Arabidopsis thaliana: one gene and its partners. The protein of the gene in region 1 interacts with the protein of each later gene in a pairwise test. Each region holds a gene or a part of one and is shown on either strand. Other genes may lie near its edges.

The links. Proteins that work in one complex are often made in the same cells at the same time.
Region 2: the proteins of AGL20 (region 1) and AT5G47590 interact in a two-hybrid assay, tested with the Arabidopsis thaliana proteins (one large-scale study listed by BioGRID).
Region 3: the proteins of AGL20 (region 1) and AT5G04600 interact in a two-hybrid assay, tested with the Arabidopsis thaliana proteins (one large-scale study listed by BioGRID).

What each region holds. Positions count from the first base shown.
Region 1 is NC_003071.7:18,806,594-18,813,041, forward strand, and holds AGL20 (AGAMOUS-like 20), read right to left. Parts: upstream 4,533-6,448; 5' UTR 4,064-4,532; intron 3,624-4,063; 5' UTR 3,601-3,623; coding exon 3,419-3,600; intron 2,417-3,418; coding exon 2,335-2,416; intron 2,144-2,334; coding exon 2,082-2,143; intron 1,975-2,081; coding exon 1,875-1,974; intron 1,772-1,874; coding exon 1,730-1,771; coding exon of another isoform or gene 1,721-1,729; exon of another isoform or gene 1,608-1,720; coding exon 1,566-1,607; intron 1,341-1,565; coding exon 1,206-1,340; 3' UTR 912-1,205; downstream 1-911. UniProt on the Arabidopsis thaliana protein: Transcription activator active in flowering time control. May integrate signals from the photoperiod, vernalization and autonomous floral induction pathways. Can modulate class B and C homeotic genes expression.
Region 2 is NC_003076.8:19,296,883-19,301,339, forward strand, and holds AT5G47590 (Heat shock protein HSP20/alpha crystallin family), read right to left. Parts: upstream 2,293-4,457; 5' UTR 2,218-2,292; coding exon 2,163-2,217; intron 1,889-2,162; coding exon 1,511-1,888; coding exon of another isoform or gene 1,425-1,510; coding exon 1,063-1,424; 3' UTR 732-1,062; downstream 1-731. Other genes in the region: ASG7 (uncharacterized protein), read right to left, coding at 1-312; AT5G47600 (HSP20-like chaperones superfamily protein), read right to left, coding at 3,063-3,403, 3,520-3,574.
Region 3 is NC_003076.8:1,321,837-1,327,715, reverse strand, and holds AT5G04600 (RNA-binding (RRM/RBD/RNP motifs) family protein), read right to left. Parts: upstream 4,143-5,879; 5' UTR 4,017-4,142; coding exon 3,903-4,016; intron 3,799-3,902; coding exon 3,681-3,798; intron 3,539-3,680; coding exon 3,483-3,538; intron 3,392-3,482; coding exon 3,344-3,391; intron 3,248-3,343; coding exon 3,150-3,247; intron 2,634-3,149; coding exon 2,564-2,633; intron 2,476-2,563; coding exon 2,365-2,475; intron 2,284-2,364; coding exon 2,230-2,283; 3' UTR 2,105-2,229; coding exon of another isoform or gene 800-2,104; 3' UTR 732-799; downstream 1-731. Other genes in the region: BIOF (biotin F), read right to left, coding at 175-424; AT5G04610 (S-adenosyl-L-methionine-dependent methyltransferases superfamily protein), read left to right, coding at 800-2,104; SIR (sulfite reductase), read right to left, coding at 5,418-5,471, 5,589-5,747, 5,841-5,879.

The DNA of each region.
Region 1 (6,448 bases):
CATGAATACTATTAAATCTCAGACATATATTTATGAATGCTGAATTGTGAATAGTAGGAACAAATAATAAATCGTGCGACGTCGAATCAATTGGGTGACGAATAATCAAAGGAGGATTCAGCTCAACTACGCAAGTAGGAGTAATGAACTTCCGAAACAATTGGGTGAGTAAATGAAATCAACCTGTAACTAAAAAAATGAACGAATAATAAAATGCCACGTAGTTGACCTTGGAAAAAGCGCAATGATATGAAGCCAGGTAGGACCCACATTGCTGTTTCTTGATTTGACTTTTGGAAGAGAAGAGCTCCTCTTTCTTTAGCAAACTTTACTGTTGTTGATATATGTCTTTTCCATAAAGTCTTCATATTTATTGAGGTTTTTTTTTTTTTTTTACATACTAGAATTTAAGTTTTTAATACTCTCTTATATTTATGGGCTGTTATCGCAAAGTAGGCCCTTTTATAAGTGGGCCATTACAAAATAAATTCATGGGCCCATATAAATGTTAACGGCACATGTCATATCACAATCATGTATCTCTATTATCTAAAGATTCTAAACGATTTGAAATATTGGATTATGCGTATAATGTTTTTTTTTTCTTTGATGGGCTAAAAGCCTCTACAACATTTGGATTTATGCCCTAAATCTCCTCTCCCGGTGATCTTTTGAACTTGCTTGGGGGGGACGCAACTTCTTCCAAGACAGTCACACATGCTACTAGACCGATCTTTGTATTGTAGAGTTGCCACCGTTGTCGTGTATCAGCTCTTCATCTGAAATGATGCAGTTATTGATTTTTGGCCAATGGATAATGTTTAATGTGCTCTCATAATTTTCTTTATATTTTTTTACCAGTTTGGGAAGTTCTAGACCTCTAGTCTCTCGACTTGAGAAACCAGTAAGTTATATAGTACAGATATTCCTGATTTTATGATTTTGAGGGAAGAAAGCTAAATTGATACATGAAAACAAAACATAATCAAAATTACATTCTAGAGAGGCAAGTGTAAGAACATAGATACATAACACAAGCAGTTCAGAATCATTAAAGAAGTGACTGAGAGAGAGAGAGTGAGAGAGAAATAAGACAACAAGAGAGAAGCAGCTTTAGAGTTTTGTTACTTGTCCTTATACACTCTCAGTACTGCTAAACCTGTTTTTACTTAGTTTGTTTTTTTGTTTTTTTTGTTGAGTGGAGATCACTTTCTTGAAGAACAAGGTAACCCAATGAACAATTGCGTCTCTACTTCAGAACTTGGGCTACTCTCTTCATCACCTCTTCCAGTACTTTCTTGATTCTTATTTGACCAAACTTCGCTTTCATGAGATCCCCACTGCATTCAAATAGAATTATTACACAAAATTAATAGATGCAAATTAGAAGATATATAGAACAATACATAAATTAAAGAAGGTTGATGATTGAAGATAACCAAGAAAAACTAGTAAGGACTCTCCTAACCTAATAACCCCCAAAAAGAACCCCAACTTTCTTATCTTTACCGAATAAAAAAACGAATGTGCAACCCTAACTTGAGACCCATAAGAATATATTATACCTTTTCAGAGAGCTTCTCGTTTTCTGCAGCTAGAGCTTTCTCCTGCAAAAGTTTTAGATTCCAATTTGTAAAAAGCAAGCACAAGAGGCTTACTTACTTGGAATATTACACAATTTGCATACATACTTATATCTGTTTATATACACTCATAAAAACTACTTTACCTTTTGCTTGAGCTGCTCAATTTGTTCCTTAAACACTTGAGTCTAAAAGAGATGAGAAATTGAGTTATAATTATGAGTGGTTTCAGAAGATGATTCGAACAATACTTATAATGTGGAGATATAACAGATAAATATATACACATACCTTTCTTGCTCGAATACATTTGACACTTTTCTCAAGCTGTTGCTCAATCTGTTGCAGCTCCTCGATTGAGCATGTTCCTATGCCTTCTCCCAAGAGTTTACTGATTACAAAAACAAAACACTAATTGATCAAACTCTCCTATGCATCATGAAATAGATATATACAAGTGATGAATAATGTGTTTGTATATATGTATATATCACAAACCGTTTAGAAGCTTCGAGTTGTTCAATTTTCTTCATCATGTTTGCTGCTTCATATTTCAAATGCTGTTGGTTATATCACAGAAATGTTATTGCATGTACATATATATCCTAATTATAAATATGTGACTTGATCCTGTGACCTTGAGATTATATACATATTGTGGTTATATTCATTACCGCTCTTTGATATTATATAGTAAAAGTATTAATTAGCAAGAATTGATATATAGGCAAGAAGATCATAAAGAATAAACCTGCATATTTTCTTCAGAAACCGGTTTGGTGCTGACTCGATCCTTAGTATGCCTCAGATAACGATCTATGGTATCTTGCATACTGTCAAAAACATATATAATTGGAACATTAAAGTAAATCATCAGAGATCAAATTTAGATCCCAATGGTGTTCTCAAAACATTTCTTATTGAAGATATCACTAGACTTAATCAAGGACATAGCTTGAAAAGTCTTGTACTTTTTCCCCCTATTTTAGAAAATCAAAAACATGTGAGGTCTTATCTTTATATTTAGTAGGTTCGAGAGAAAGAAGTACTTTCCCAAATGGACCAAATGTCTGAAACATCTGATCAAAAGCTGGCATTTTCATTTACAGAAGTAATGATTCATCAAAAGTAAGTTTGGTTTCCCTACTACCTAACAGTACAAGATAAAACTCTTTTGATTCTCAAAAACAATCAACATTTAGGTTTGGCTAGCTAGCTTTGAGTTTCTATGTCAAAATCAGGAACAAATATTCAAACAAATTGAACTAAATTAGGAATGAGCATGAAATGAAGCATGAGGGATTAATAAATCAGGAATGATGAAACAACTTCCTAATCATCACTTAGAAATTAGAACAACATGTTTTGCTTAAAGCAATAACAAGACAAAGATTAGTTCAAACCAAAAGAATACTAATTGAAAGTTGTTTTATTAATACTATGTGATCATGATCTCTAAGAAGATCAAATATATAACAAGTGTAAATTGGCTACGAAAGAGCACATTTTATTTATATCATAACTTGAGAAACTAATTGAGAAAGAGAGAGACAGATGATTAAACAAGATGATATACTAGCGGAAATAAAAAAACAATAAATAAGAGGGTATATGTACTTGATACTACTTTAATAATAGCCCTAATTTTGCAGAAACCAAGAAACTCATTTAAACACACCTCTCAAAGCAAACGTCAAAGAGATGTGATTCCACAAAAGGCCAATCAAATCCATATATAAACCAAAAAAAATTAAGATACAAATAGAGAGGTTAATGAGATCTCTCTCTCTCTCTCTTTCTATGGATGATTTGTAAGAAAGACAAAAAGAACGTACTTGGAGCTGGCGAATTCATAAAGTTTGCCTTTAGGAGAGAAGATGATAAGAGAAACTTCAGCATCACAAAGCACTGAGAGCTCAAAGGCTTTCTTCAACAAACCATTCCTTCTTTTGGAGAAAGTCACTTGTCTGCTTGTTGCATTCTCTATTCTCTTCATCTGAGTTTTGCCCCTCACCATATCTTCTTCTTTAGTTAATTTCCCTTGCACACAGAAAAAAAATAAAATTATTTTTTCAAAAATTGAAGAAAACGGTAGATCAATGGTGCAACCACCTCAATAACAAGATTAGTCACACACATAAAACAACCCATTTCATATATGAATCAAAGAGAGTAGGTTAAAAAAATGAAGATATGATCGAAATATGACTTTTTTGTTTGGGTGGGAGAAGACTGATGAAGTCAACGAAAGATTAAGTACCCAAAAAGCAAAACAATCTAAAGTATCTGATCTATAAGTCTGTAATGGAAACTTTTGTTATCGGTTTAATTGAAGGATGCAACCTCCTTTCATGAGATTTAGGACAAAGAAACCAAACACATCAAATCGAACCAAATGAAACCAAACCCATATAAGTTTATAGATCCATCAGAGTACAAAGCAAAAGAAAAAAGAAAAGATCATGACGAAGAGATCTTACCGATTGGCTAAAAGGGTTTGATAAAAACCTAACCAGGAGGAAGCTTTCGAGGATAAAGGGTTTGTGTATGTATAGGTAGAGATATAGGAGGAGACTATATAAGCATTACTGGAGGGAGAAGAAGAAAGAAAGAGAAGGAAGAAGATGATCAAAGTTGATTCTCTGCGAAAGGAAGAACCTTTTTATGGAAGTAGCAAAAGAAGTAGCTTTCCTCGTTTCATCTATTTGTGTGTAATAAAAGAAACAAAAGACAAAAAAACTTCACACACTCGTCTCTTCTCTCTCTGCTTTTCTCCTTAAAAAAGATCCTCTTCTCGTTGTAGTTATGGTAATGGTGTTTGTGAAACCATATATATTTTCTTTTCTATTTTATTTCTTGGAGAAAGATAATAAAATAAGAGAAAGAAAGAGGGAGGAGCTAAATAGTCAGTCATATGTGTCGCAAATATGATGGACGCTTGAAACCTCATCCTTTACTTATTTTGGAAAAAAGCCTTAAGAAAGACCAAAAATAGCATATTTTGATACATATGGACATTTTTACATACACATCTTTTTCCCTCCCATAAATATCTAGTTGGATGGAAATGCCTGTCAAATTATTTTTATTAAATTTCTTCTAACAAAAATCTTTTTTTGTTTTTAATGTGGACACAAACACTCTCTCGTACCTATATGCCCCCACTTGTAATTGATATGAAAAATAAGAATATCGTTTTTTCTTACCTGTGAGTAATACAACTATATTGGTTTTAATCAATTTTTATAATATCTTTCCATCCCAACAGATAAAATTCATTTGATTTGTATATTTTCTATGCTTGTTTGTCCATTGTTTCTTATTGTTGTTCTTAAATTGTGTTTTTAGTTATATGACATAATCTTACATCTCCATGTGAATAATTAATTACTTGCAATTGTAAGTTTTTATAAGTTGGACAAAACCACATTACAAAATACTACAATTTCCTCATTACCTAAGTGACCATTAATCCAAATATTTGGAGGCTAGTACAGAGACAATGGGGCAATGGCGTTAAGTAGCGACGTGTCTAAAGAGGCATTTGCTATTTTTGGTCCCTCGGATTACTAAAGAAAACGTAACTTAGAAATCCAATAATAATTCAGCTTATCGAACGTCTTGTCTAGCTAGTGGCACCAAAAAAATATCCTTTTTTGGAGATAAAATTGTTAATCGATATCTAATGATCTTTTATCTATATCGGGAGGAGGACCACACAAACTAATTATTTCGAAAAATACACATCTTCTCTGGTGAAATATGTTAACGTATTTATATATATTAAATATCAAACAGATAGGTCCGAAAATCTGTATGGATAATTTTTATATAAATACACATCTTCTCTGGTGAATTGTCTCTATCTTTATATTTTCGTGTTTGTATAAAGTATAAACCCGGTTTGAAGTTTAGTTATGTATTTTGTAGACCCAATTCAGATTTAAAGAAACATCATCGTATACCACTAGTAAATACGATCACTTCTTAACTGGTTGAGACAAATCCAAAACAAAAAGTATCTAACGTAACTGAACCAACTATACATTACTTAAAGGATTCGTCCTATAGATTAAAACAATCGTGTTAGTAATGTGTCACATCGAAAGTAAGATAGAACCAGGCTATGCTTCAGGTTTTTGTTCACTGCGATTAATTTTAGATATGATTGACCACTACAATTATTTTTAAGTGGTAGTAATATCCGATTTTTTTTGTACATAATCATATAAACTAATCTAATTTTCGCTTCGAGATCCCAAAGTATAATTTTTTTAAAAATATGACTATATGAGAGATACGTAGAGTTCTAGTCTACACTATATGAGAGATACGTATGCGTTTAGTCACAAGTTTCTTTGTTGCCATTAGATTAGAAAAACCTTGTATAAGTAAGTACATGTCTGTCTAGCAGTCTAGGAATGATGTGAATTTGCATTTAAAAGATGTATGGTTAGTAACTTCCAACATGGTGATATGGAAATCTCATGAGTTTACCAGTCATAAGCTCATGCAAAATCATAACATATAAAGTGTATTTTAGATAAATCAAAATTTCACAATGATTAAACACCAATGTGTTTGTAAAATTAGTTTGGGGTTAATGTACAAGAATTAGAGAAATAAGGGTGGGAAAAAAGAGTACAATATTAGAAATACATCAACGTCGTCCGTACAGTCACGTACAAACGTTAGCCAATGATAATTCGAAAACGCACCTCTTACTTTTTCTCATCAATCGAAAAATCCCGAGACAATAATAATATATTTATTATTTTATTAATTACAAAGATAAATCGTGCTCCACACTTTAGTCTTCATGGGACCCTCACAAAAATTGCCATATCTCCAAATAATAAAATTCT
Region 2 (4,457 bases), on another chromosome or scaffold:
ACCCATCACAGTACATACAAAGACGGTGCTGCTGAGTTTAGCTAACTGATCCTGACGACTCGGCATGGAAGTGTTGAGATCCACAGAGAGTTTGATTCCGACAGCGATGAAAGTCAGAGAAGTGGCGTTGAGAGAGAAGAACTTACAGGGAAACCAGAATTTGCGGTGTCGGAAGCCGTGTATAAGATCGGCGGCCATGGCTAGACCACAGATGAGTGAAGCTACGGCAACGTAGATACCAATCGAAGGTAAGGGTTTGCTGAACTCTGCATCGTTCAAATCGCCATGGGCGTCGCAGCCGAGGATACCCATCAATCGAATTCAAGGATTTGATCGAAAAAGCTCTTCTTCAAGTTGACTCCATGGAAATGAGTGATCTTGTTGACATCATTCTAGAGACTGGAAAAGTAGCAAACTTTGACTTCTCTGACCGATTTTGAGCACAAATTCCAACCTTTCTACTACACTCTTCTATGACCATTTCAACTAAATTTCGGATAGACACTGTTGAATCGCAGATCAACCGGGAAAAACTCACGGGAAGAAAGTGTTTCTGCCTGCTTTCGTGGAGTTTGGAAAAGGCCTGGAGTGATCCACCTATCATGGGCCTAATAATCGGCCCAATTAGTTTTGTTACTGGATGTGTTAATAATGATGAAGAGTAGAAACTTTGACTTGTCTGATAAAATGATCACACTCCTTTCATGACCATTTCGATTCAATTGAGGAATTAGGCACTGTTGAGTGACAGATCAAATGTCCTAGGATCTATAAACAATTGACATTCCATGGAATCAGCTTTAGGGGGTTTTGAGCAATCATCATCACCAATCAGGTTATTCGAGGGATCCAGTTTGTTTGTTTTTGAATTCAGCTTAGGGGAACAAAAGAGTTAAGATTGTGAAAACAAATGACATGAATCACTTGATTCGATAGCAAACACAAAAGCAGGACTAATCTCTCTCACACACACAATGTCTCAACTTAAACAGAGAAAACTAGTCAATGTCCCAAAATGAAAATATAGTAGAGTACTAGCTAAAAGAGAGGTAGAGAGATCATTCATTCAATAGGGTTTCTTTTGTTGTTGATGGTGGTCATGTCGTCAGGAGGTATGACAGCAATCCTGAGAACACCAAATTCTGCATCCCAAGCGATGGTGTTGTTCGAAATTAAAGCGGGAAAAGGACTTTGGACGCTTCCGAGGTAGGTTCGACCGCTCTCATCGTGTTCATACACGTCCTTGATCTCAGCTTTGAATCTGATTTCCTTTTCATCAGCATACACTTCCACATCATCCGGACTAACACCTGGCATGTCCACTGCAAAGTGAGCCCCTCCTCCCGCTTTTGTCACCCCAATTAGTGCTCCCTTGCGACCAGACACCAGACACGGATGATCCTCCAAGCGTATTCCGGATTGACCTTAATAAAGAACAGAGAGTACTGTATTAACAACAAATGATGCAGCAAAAGAGATTGTGACTTTAGAGAAGAGGAATGAGTCGAACCTGTAAAAGGAGGCACAGTGAGAGTACACTTGTTGTTGTTGTTGTCTTGAGCCTTGCTCACAACCTTGACCCTTGTGAGAATCATCCTCAAAACTCCATCTTTCATTTTGGCATCCACGCCTGTGATCTCGCAGCAGTCACAGCCAAGCCCAGCGGTTCCAGAGTACTGACGCACACCTTCCTTGCCGTTGTTCAGAGTTTCACCGGAGAAAAAGACAACCTTTTGTCTCACGGCGTCAACTCTGTAGCGAACGGCGTCGTCTGGAACACCAGGCAAGTCGACACGCACGTAGAGATTGTCGTTCTCCAGAACCTTCACTTGAACGAAACCCTTTGGACCCGCTTTCTGAAACTGATTGTTCGTCGCGTAGAACCCCTCTGTAATAATAATAAGTAAACAAAGATCAAAACTTGATGAAGAAAAGTATACAGAGAACAAAGGAAGACACTTATCAAAGATGGAACTAACTCGATCTGCTTCATTTTCATGAATCATGCACAGTAAAAAAACTGTAAATCTTTGTACCAAGTTCATGTTAACACTTCACAAGTAAACAAATTGAGACAACTTTCTAGAAAAAACACATATTTTCCGAGAAAAATTAGAACAATGTTGTTCTTGGGAAATCTAGTAGCTCGTGAAAAGAGATACCTCGAACTTTAGGAATTCTTGACATGTCCCTGAAATCTGCCTTTGTCTCACCCATCTCTCTCTTTGTTTTTTGCTCTCTCTTCTCTTCTAGTTCAAGGTAGGTTGCGTAAAAATGGCGTTTTGTTCTCCTGTTGATAAATATAGACGAAGCACCATCTTGTGGTACAGACTGTGACGTGGCACGCTCCAGCTGGCTTTTTTTTAACCTTCATAGCATAAGTTTGACTGGTCTTGCCTACGTCACCGACTCTCTCTCTCGGTAAGAAAAAAAACTTGCTTTTACTCTTTTGATTTTTTTTACGGTAGAGAATAAGCTGACGTCACCAGCTCTGTGAGCTATCCCACGCTTTTTTTACTCCTTTCGTTTATATGTAATTATGTACGACAAAAATGACTGCAAAAGTAAAACCGTACCCACACTCTTCACTCTTCATTAATTTTCAAACATTTTTGACAAGACGACGCTGACGTCAGCAATCTTCAAGAGTAAAAAAATTATGAGCTCTCAATTATCTTTTTTTTTTTCATCAAAGATCAAATAAGGTTTCAACCGTCGTTTAGTGTTTATCCAATTATTACGACAACGCTATTAAAAAGTTTGATCCCTACTTACAACAACATATATCTATTAACATGTCCAGGTTACATACTCGTAATCCGGTTTAATAATGGCAAAGATCTATATAGTCTTATCGAATAGCTAGGTTAATGTAAGATTAAATAGAACAAAGAAAGCTGACAACTTTTTCTTTATTGAGATCACGACATATAGAAGCAAGATCGTTCTTAACTAAACCACAAAATGATAAACATAAAGCAGTAGCTGCATCAAAGTTCATAGATAGATAGAGACGCTAGACACAAGTACCATTACGAGACACAAACCAAGGTGTTGTTAAATCAGTAATGGAGGATCCTCTCCTTGACATTAATGGAAGCGTTTTTGCCTGGGATCTTAGGGACGGTGATCCAGAGCACTCCGTTGATAAGCTTCACTTTAGTTTTCTTGACGTCGTAAGCCTCAGGGTTGAAAATCATGGAGCCTCCGTATTTGCGTCCGGCGTTTTCGTACTCAGGCATTGCTGGTTCGTCGGCGAAGAAGTGGACGTTGTTGGCGTCGACCCAGTAGGTGAGATCTGACTCGGGACAACCAGGCATGTCGACTCTCGTCACGCAAGATTTCTTCGTCTCTGTCACCTCGTACACCGCTTGACTCCCACTTTTCTGAAATCGGTTCCTTACTGTACATACATAAGATAAAACAAACACAAATTCGTTATTAGAAAGAGAGATTTGACGTGTAAACTATAAAGGTTTGATTTTTATAAGAAATGACAGTGAAAGATGAAAACTTTACTTGGAGACGGAATTTCGCCGGAACTGCCTGCGTTAACTTCCATGTTCCTACTCATTTGCTCAAAACGATGCTCTTTCTCTTTCTTTTGGAAGGAAACTGAGTGAGCAAAGTCGCTCTACTCCACTTGCTATTTATAGCCGAGGAGGACTATAGGGTTTGGGAAAGGCCTGGAGTGACCTATCATTTGGCCCATTAATCGGCCCAAGGAGTGTTAAAAATTCGAAATTGTTTCTGATTTGGTGAAATTGATCGAAAAGCTCTTCTAGTTGAACTCCATGGAAAGGAGTGATCTTGTAGAGTGTTGACAATTGACATCAATCTGGAGACTTTGACTTCTCTGAACAATTTTTAGCACAACCGGAGTGACCACCTAATATGGGCCTAAGAATCGGCCCATTTAGTTTTGTCGGGGGATGAATTATAAACAATTGACATTTGATGGAAGAAACTAATATTCAATATCAGCTTAGCTTTAGGTAAATTATGCAATGGACCCAATTTGTTTCAATCGGCTTAGAGGAAAAAAAAAGAGTTAAAAGTTTGTGAAAACAAATGACATGAATCATTGGGTACCATAGCAAACACAAGTATGTATATGTTAGTTACTTGTGTATTTGGCCCATACATCGGCCCAATGAGTGTTTGAGCCTTTAAAATTCGAAAACTGCTTTTGATTTGGTGCAGTATATGTTAGTTATTCAGCTTCCATCTAATCTCCTCCATACACATTATAATTTAAGTTGCTCTGAGTTTTATTTGATTCTTACTGAAGATTGGTCCAGAAACTTTCCTAGTACAATGAACTCTTGTTTCAAAACAAAAAAAAACACTGTTTCATTGTGTGGCGATGTAGAATTAGATTGATACAATACAAGTACTTAAGTAAATACTTTGGTTGGTCTACGTTACCTAATAATACAGAGCAGATACAGGGTAAT
Region 3 (5,879 bases), on another chromosome or scaffold:
TCTTCACTAAACCCAAATTATAACCATCAATTACACTTTGCATAAAGCCATAATTCACTGTCTAAAGTATGAAAACGAAATCGCATTTGAGTTCAAAGGAAGAAAAAAACACCAAACTTTGGAAACTCCGAAACTCTCGGCAAAAAAAAATATCAGGAAAGAAATGAAACGTACCGTTGCTGGGTTCATCGTGAAGCCATTTCTGAAATGTAGGAATCGAGACAGACACCTCAACTGAAGTCCGATCCCATTGACACAAACCGTCGAACACCTCGTACCCGTCTCCTCCATTGGCTCTGCTTTTCACTATTTCTTCTTCGTTTTGCCTAGACATGCAAATGGGCCTCAAAGATCGAAGAATTTGCCTGGATTCAAGCACATTCACTGCTTCTTCCACAGTTTTATCCCACGAATGATCCGCCATTCTAAGTGCAAACAGAATTGTGATTTGGGCGAATTTTAAAAAGTGGTTCGGTAGCTAGAGAAAGAAGAGGACTTAAAGCCTCTTCTCCTACTGCTATGACGTAATTAAAACACCTGCTTCTACATGTTTGTAGACTCAGAGAAGGAAATGAGAGAGGCCTGGAGATGAAAAGCCCAGGACGAAGAAGAAGAAGATGAGTAAATGAAAAATTGAAAATTTCGGAGTTGAAACACGTGAAAGTCACATGATCGGTTTGTTCTGGTTTGGTTTATTCCGGTTTTATCGGTTTATTTCTGGTTTGGTTTTATTACGGTTAACTGTAAGCAGCATCATAAAAAGACGAAGATGGATGATGGTGAAATCAAAATCAAGGAAATGGCGCTTGATGTGAGAATCTTCGAGAAAACCTCTCCTTCTCGTTTCATCTCTTTCACTATCCCTAACCCTAATTCTCCGATTCATCTCCTCCGCGTCGCCGTCCTCGACTCGCCTGTTCATTCCACTGAGTCTTCTCCTCCCCGAGTCGCCGCCATTCTCGTCCCCAAGCACCGAGAATCCGATTGGATCTTCTCCACTGAGTCCGGTCAATTACAGCTTCTCCTTAACATGCCAGAAATCTCTCGATTGATCTTGATCGGTGATGATCACGATACTGACTCTGATTTACCTGCGGTTTATCACCGACCGAACGGCGAAGACGACGAATCTGAGAAACTCGAGATAAGATTGAAACCTCTTGTGGTAGCTTTGTTACCTAAAACCCTAACACGAGAAGAAATCGACGATGTGCCTTTTCTGATTTACGATGATAATGTTGTCTCCAGTGTAGAGATTGAAAAATGCGTCGGGCCTTTCGTTGGTGAAATGTTAATTGAAGATGTAGAGATTGAGATCGATGATGGAGTTAGAGAATTTAGGAGGAGATTGAGGTTTAAGAGAATGCCAAATTTAGTTCAATCTGCCATTAAAATCATTCCCAGAAGTTGTTCGAATCCTTCTCTGCCATTAATGGGAACAGAGTTCAAGCTTGATCTTACGGAACTTGTGCATCCTTACTTGGCACCAATGGTGGCAAGTCTTAGCTTGATTGGTTCTGATGTATATGATCATCTCAAATCTAAACCAAAGGCATTGTGCATTGGGGTTGGAGGTGGTGGATTGCTAAGTTTCTTAAGGCTACAGTTAGGGTTCGAAGTTACAGGCGTAGAGATAGATCCTGAAGTCTTGAGGATTGCAAGGCAATACTTCGGGTTAGAGGAAAGCTTAGCTCGTGTTCACGTTGAAGATGGTATTGAGTTCTTAAAGAGACTTTCTAAAAGCTGTGATGATGATGCCAGATTTGATGTCTTGATGGTTGATCTGGACTCTACTGATCCAATTCACGGCATGACTGCTCCTCCGGTTGAGTTTGTGGCTAAAGATGTGTTGCTAGCTGCAAGAACTGTTCTTGTTCCTTCTGGGGTTTTCATTATCAATGTCATTCCTCCGAACAAGACATTTTACCAAGAGCTTCAAGACCAGTTTAGACATGTCTTTGCCGAGTTGTATGAGATCGATGTAGGAAATGGTGAGAATTTTGTTCTCATCGCAACCGTTGCACCTAGAAAGAGCGGTTTCAACAGAGAGAATCTAACACCCGCTGTCTCGGGAAAGTATCTTGATGCTATACAGAAAATCTGAATCATTGAAACAGAAGTTTTCATTGCAAACTTTAAAGTTTAGTTATTGATCCAATATCAAGAGTACAACAGAACAGATTTCTATTCAAAAAAGGTTATCGGAAAAGTGTTGTTCAGCTTCAGCTTTTAGTCTTCTTCACTAAACTTGATCCTCTTCGGGACTGGCTGTGTGTTTCCAACCTGAAGCAGTGACACAAAACATGCAGTTATTAGTTCAATGTTGAAGATGTAGTGTATAGAATTGTGTAATCGGAAACTTACAAGCTCAGGGCATTCGTATTCTATTCCAGCGGCTTCGATTCTCTTCCTCCTTTTCTGATCCTTTTTAACTATCTTCTGCAACATTTTCCTATGCTCTTCCAATGTCCTTTCCTGTATACAACAGTGACATAAATCAAAGTTAGAGCCACTTGTTCAAGAGAAATGGCATATTGATAACAAGAAAAGTGGAGAGAATAACCTTATTAAGTTGTCTTCGCTCAATCTGAACCGAATCCACTGGTTTGAAGTTACATTTAAACCCTCTCCACCTATAACATTCAGGACATAGATACATTAAGATCCACAACTACTTGAAAAGAACAATTCTCAAAATAGGTCATGCATGTTCTCTTCTGGAAACACTAGAGAGTCTCGCACATCTTTTAGAGTATGGAGTCATTAGAAACCAAGGTAGGGGACAAGAATCACATTTTCTTTACCCTAATTTTATGACTCATAAATAAAACCATCTCAGCCAAGAAAACGATCTTTCAATAAACTCTCTTTTATCCTCACTTATTTTATCACATCCTATCTAGTATCATCCTATGACTCAAATGTCATTAAGTCTCACTCTGTAAACCATAGAACATTGTACTTCAAAGCTTGCGCTAAACCACACGAGATAGTATATTGTTATATAGAGCTCTTTCATTCAACAATATAGCACAAAGTACATAAGCAGCCAAGTAAAATAGCTAACCTACACAATTAGATATGCCAACTAACTATTTGCAAAGAAGATCCCTGATCACTACGAAAAAAAGTCGATTAAAATCACTCACAGATTGGGTTTAACATTCTCTGGTTCAATGACATGGACTTTAAGCATGTGCTCCATCAACAAATAATCATTCATTGCACCCGCTGCAATTTCCGCCACCTGCAGAGAACCAAATAAAAATGTCAAGAATTGAATCTAGAGTATATATATAGCACACAACGGTTTCACCAATTTTATACAGAATCTAAAGTATACCTCAGGGTCCTCAAACTGTATGAACCCAAAATGCTTTGATTTCCCAGTCTGTTAAGACGAATACAAATTCAAAGAGTTAAGAAAGAGCACATCGTATCAAACAAGAGCAAACAAAATAAAGTATCAATCAATGTATAACCTTTTTGTTTCTGGCGACTCTAACTCTCTTAACTGTTCCAAACTGCGAGAAGAAAGCTATAACCCAGAAAGGAAAACCAGATTATCAAACACATAAACCATAGATAGATAATAAAAAGGTTTATTCATATTAGCAAGTTTGTGACAACAAAGGGCATTAAATTGAGCAAACACAATAATAAAGGGTGTAAATTTATACCTTCAATCTCAGTCTCATAGAAGCCATGAGGGATTCTACCGATGTATAGCACAGTAGCTTTATTCTGAAGAGGTGGGGTGGTAACTGGAGCTTTTCGAGCTGGACCTCCTTCTAGTGGCTATCAACAAAAACCCATACAGAGAGATTCAATGTAAAACCCTAAAGAGTCTGATACGAAATCGAAACAATGGTGGTAGTAAGAGAAAGTATCGAAGGAAATACCAAAAAATCAGCTGAAGGTTTCGGGTTCTGGGGAAGAGGTAGCTGAGAAGAAGAAGCCGAAGCAGCAACCTTCTTCATGTTCTTCTTCAAAGCTTTCTTCGCCTTGGCACCCATGTTTTCGTCGTCGGCGAGAGAGAGAAAGAGAGAACGCAAGGAAGAGGATGATACAATTAGGGTTTAAGGCGATTAGGTTTTCAACCAATTTAATCGATGTGAAAAAATTTCCAGTTATACCCCTCCCGTCCATTCTGTTTTTTATGTGTGAATATGTTTTTTTAAATAATTGTGGACATTAAAAAATTACAGTGGTGTGTAAATTTCTCAAAATGTTTTACTTGTGGGTTAAAAAAACAGTCCATATTTAAACAGAGCAACTGAGCAACAACAGAAAGAAAAAGCATAAGAAGCCATCTTAGAAAGAGGAGTAATCAAATGATATCCAGAGCTTTTTTTTTTTTCTCATAAGGGATTTTTATTCATTAAACCAATCTTACAAACCGGGTGAACCGGATAACCTAGTAAACCGGTACCCACAACCCCTTCAGCAAAATATGCAGACAGAAGCCGGCACAATTTCCGGCGAGTGAACAACCGGAAACATCTCCGGATTATAAAAACAAACAACTATTAAACCGAAAAAGATAAAAGATTCAATTTAATCTTCAAATTCTTTCTCTTCTCATCACTGGATCTTTTCCGAGAACAAAAGCATGAAAGAAGTTGTCAGCAAACAATCAACCACGAGGTGAAGCTTCTGATCTCTTGTCATCACTTGCTAATAAGAATAGACTTCGGAAATTGATATCTTGACTTCCTGGAATGGCAAGACGGACCTCAAATGAGGTGATTGAAGCCGTCAAAAACGCCGGACCGTTTCAACTATAACGGTTGGAAGGAGTCAAGCAACCCAGAATTCGCCCAAATCTGGATATTGATTCATGTGGATGAGACTAAAACAGTCGCCCAATCGAAACACCAAAACACTTACCTGATTGTGGATGGTGGTGGAACGGATCGAGAGAAGGCCATGAAAATTTCCAGTTAGAAAAGAAGAAAAAACTGATATCAAATTGTTTCCCAAATCAATTCGGTGAAACAAACAGAACGGCAACGGGATAGCCGTAAACAACACCGGATACACCGGACGGCGAGATAGGACAGCGAGATAGATCGACAAAACCGGATCACATCCGGATTCATAAGCTGGTAAAGCATGCAAAACATCGAACAAAATCTCTCTCTCTCTAAAATTTAGAGAGATAAGAGAGAGAGGTTCTGACTTTTCCATATCCAGAGCTTTAAAAAGGCTTATTGATGGGCTAATTAGCCTTGATACAGTAATGCTTCATTATCCAATCAAAGACAAAGCAATCCAAAAAAACAAAAAAAAAAAAGAGGGTACAAAATCAAACCAAAACGAGAACAAGTTCTCCATCAGAGTTACCGAAGAGTAACAGTTCAGACAGAGACATTACATTACATGAATTATAAAACGAAAGATGATCTCTGTTGTGCTCATTGAGAAACTCCTTTGTATGTATCTATCAGCTCCTTCAGTTTCTCGAATCCCTGCAATTTTACCATTGTTAAAGTTAAAAAACACAGTCATTTGTTTTTTCTTCTTCTTCAATATAAATGTTCAAGCCACAGTGAGAGAGTTAAAGAGAAGTTATATGTGATACTTACCATGCGGGTTGTGTATTCTCCAAATGATTCTTTAGTTTGCCTCTCTAGTTTCCAGTGATAGAACAATGGCTCGCAGACTTTCTCTAAGTCGTGAACCTTAACCTTATCCATGAAACTTCTCGCTATCTGGGTCAGGTTCGGTGTTCCTCCTAGCCAAACCTGCACAACCGACAACAACTCAGAATATTAGCCTGCTTGCTTACTACTATACTGTCTCATCACTAGTAACAAGAGCTTGTGCTCCAACCGTACCTGATAGCTGTTGGGACCATCCCCGACTAGACCGAGCTC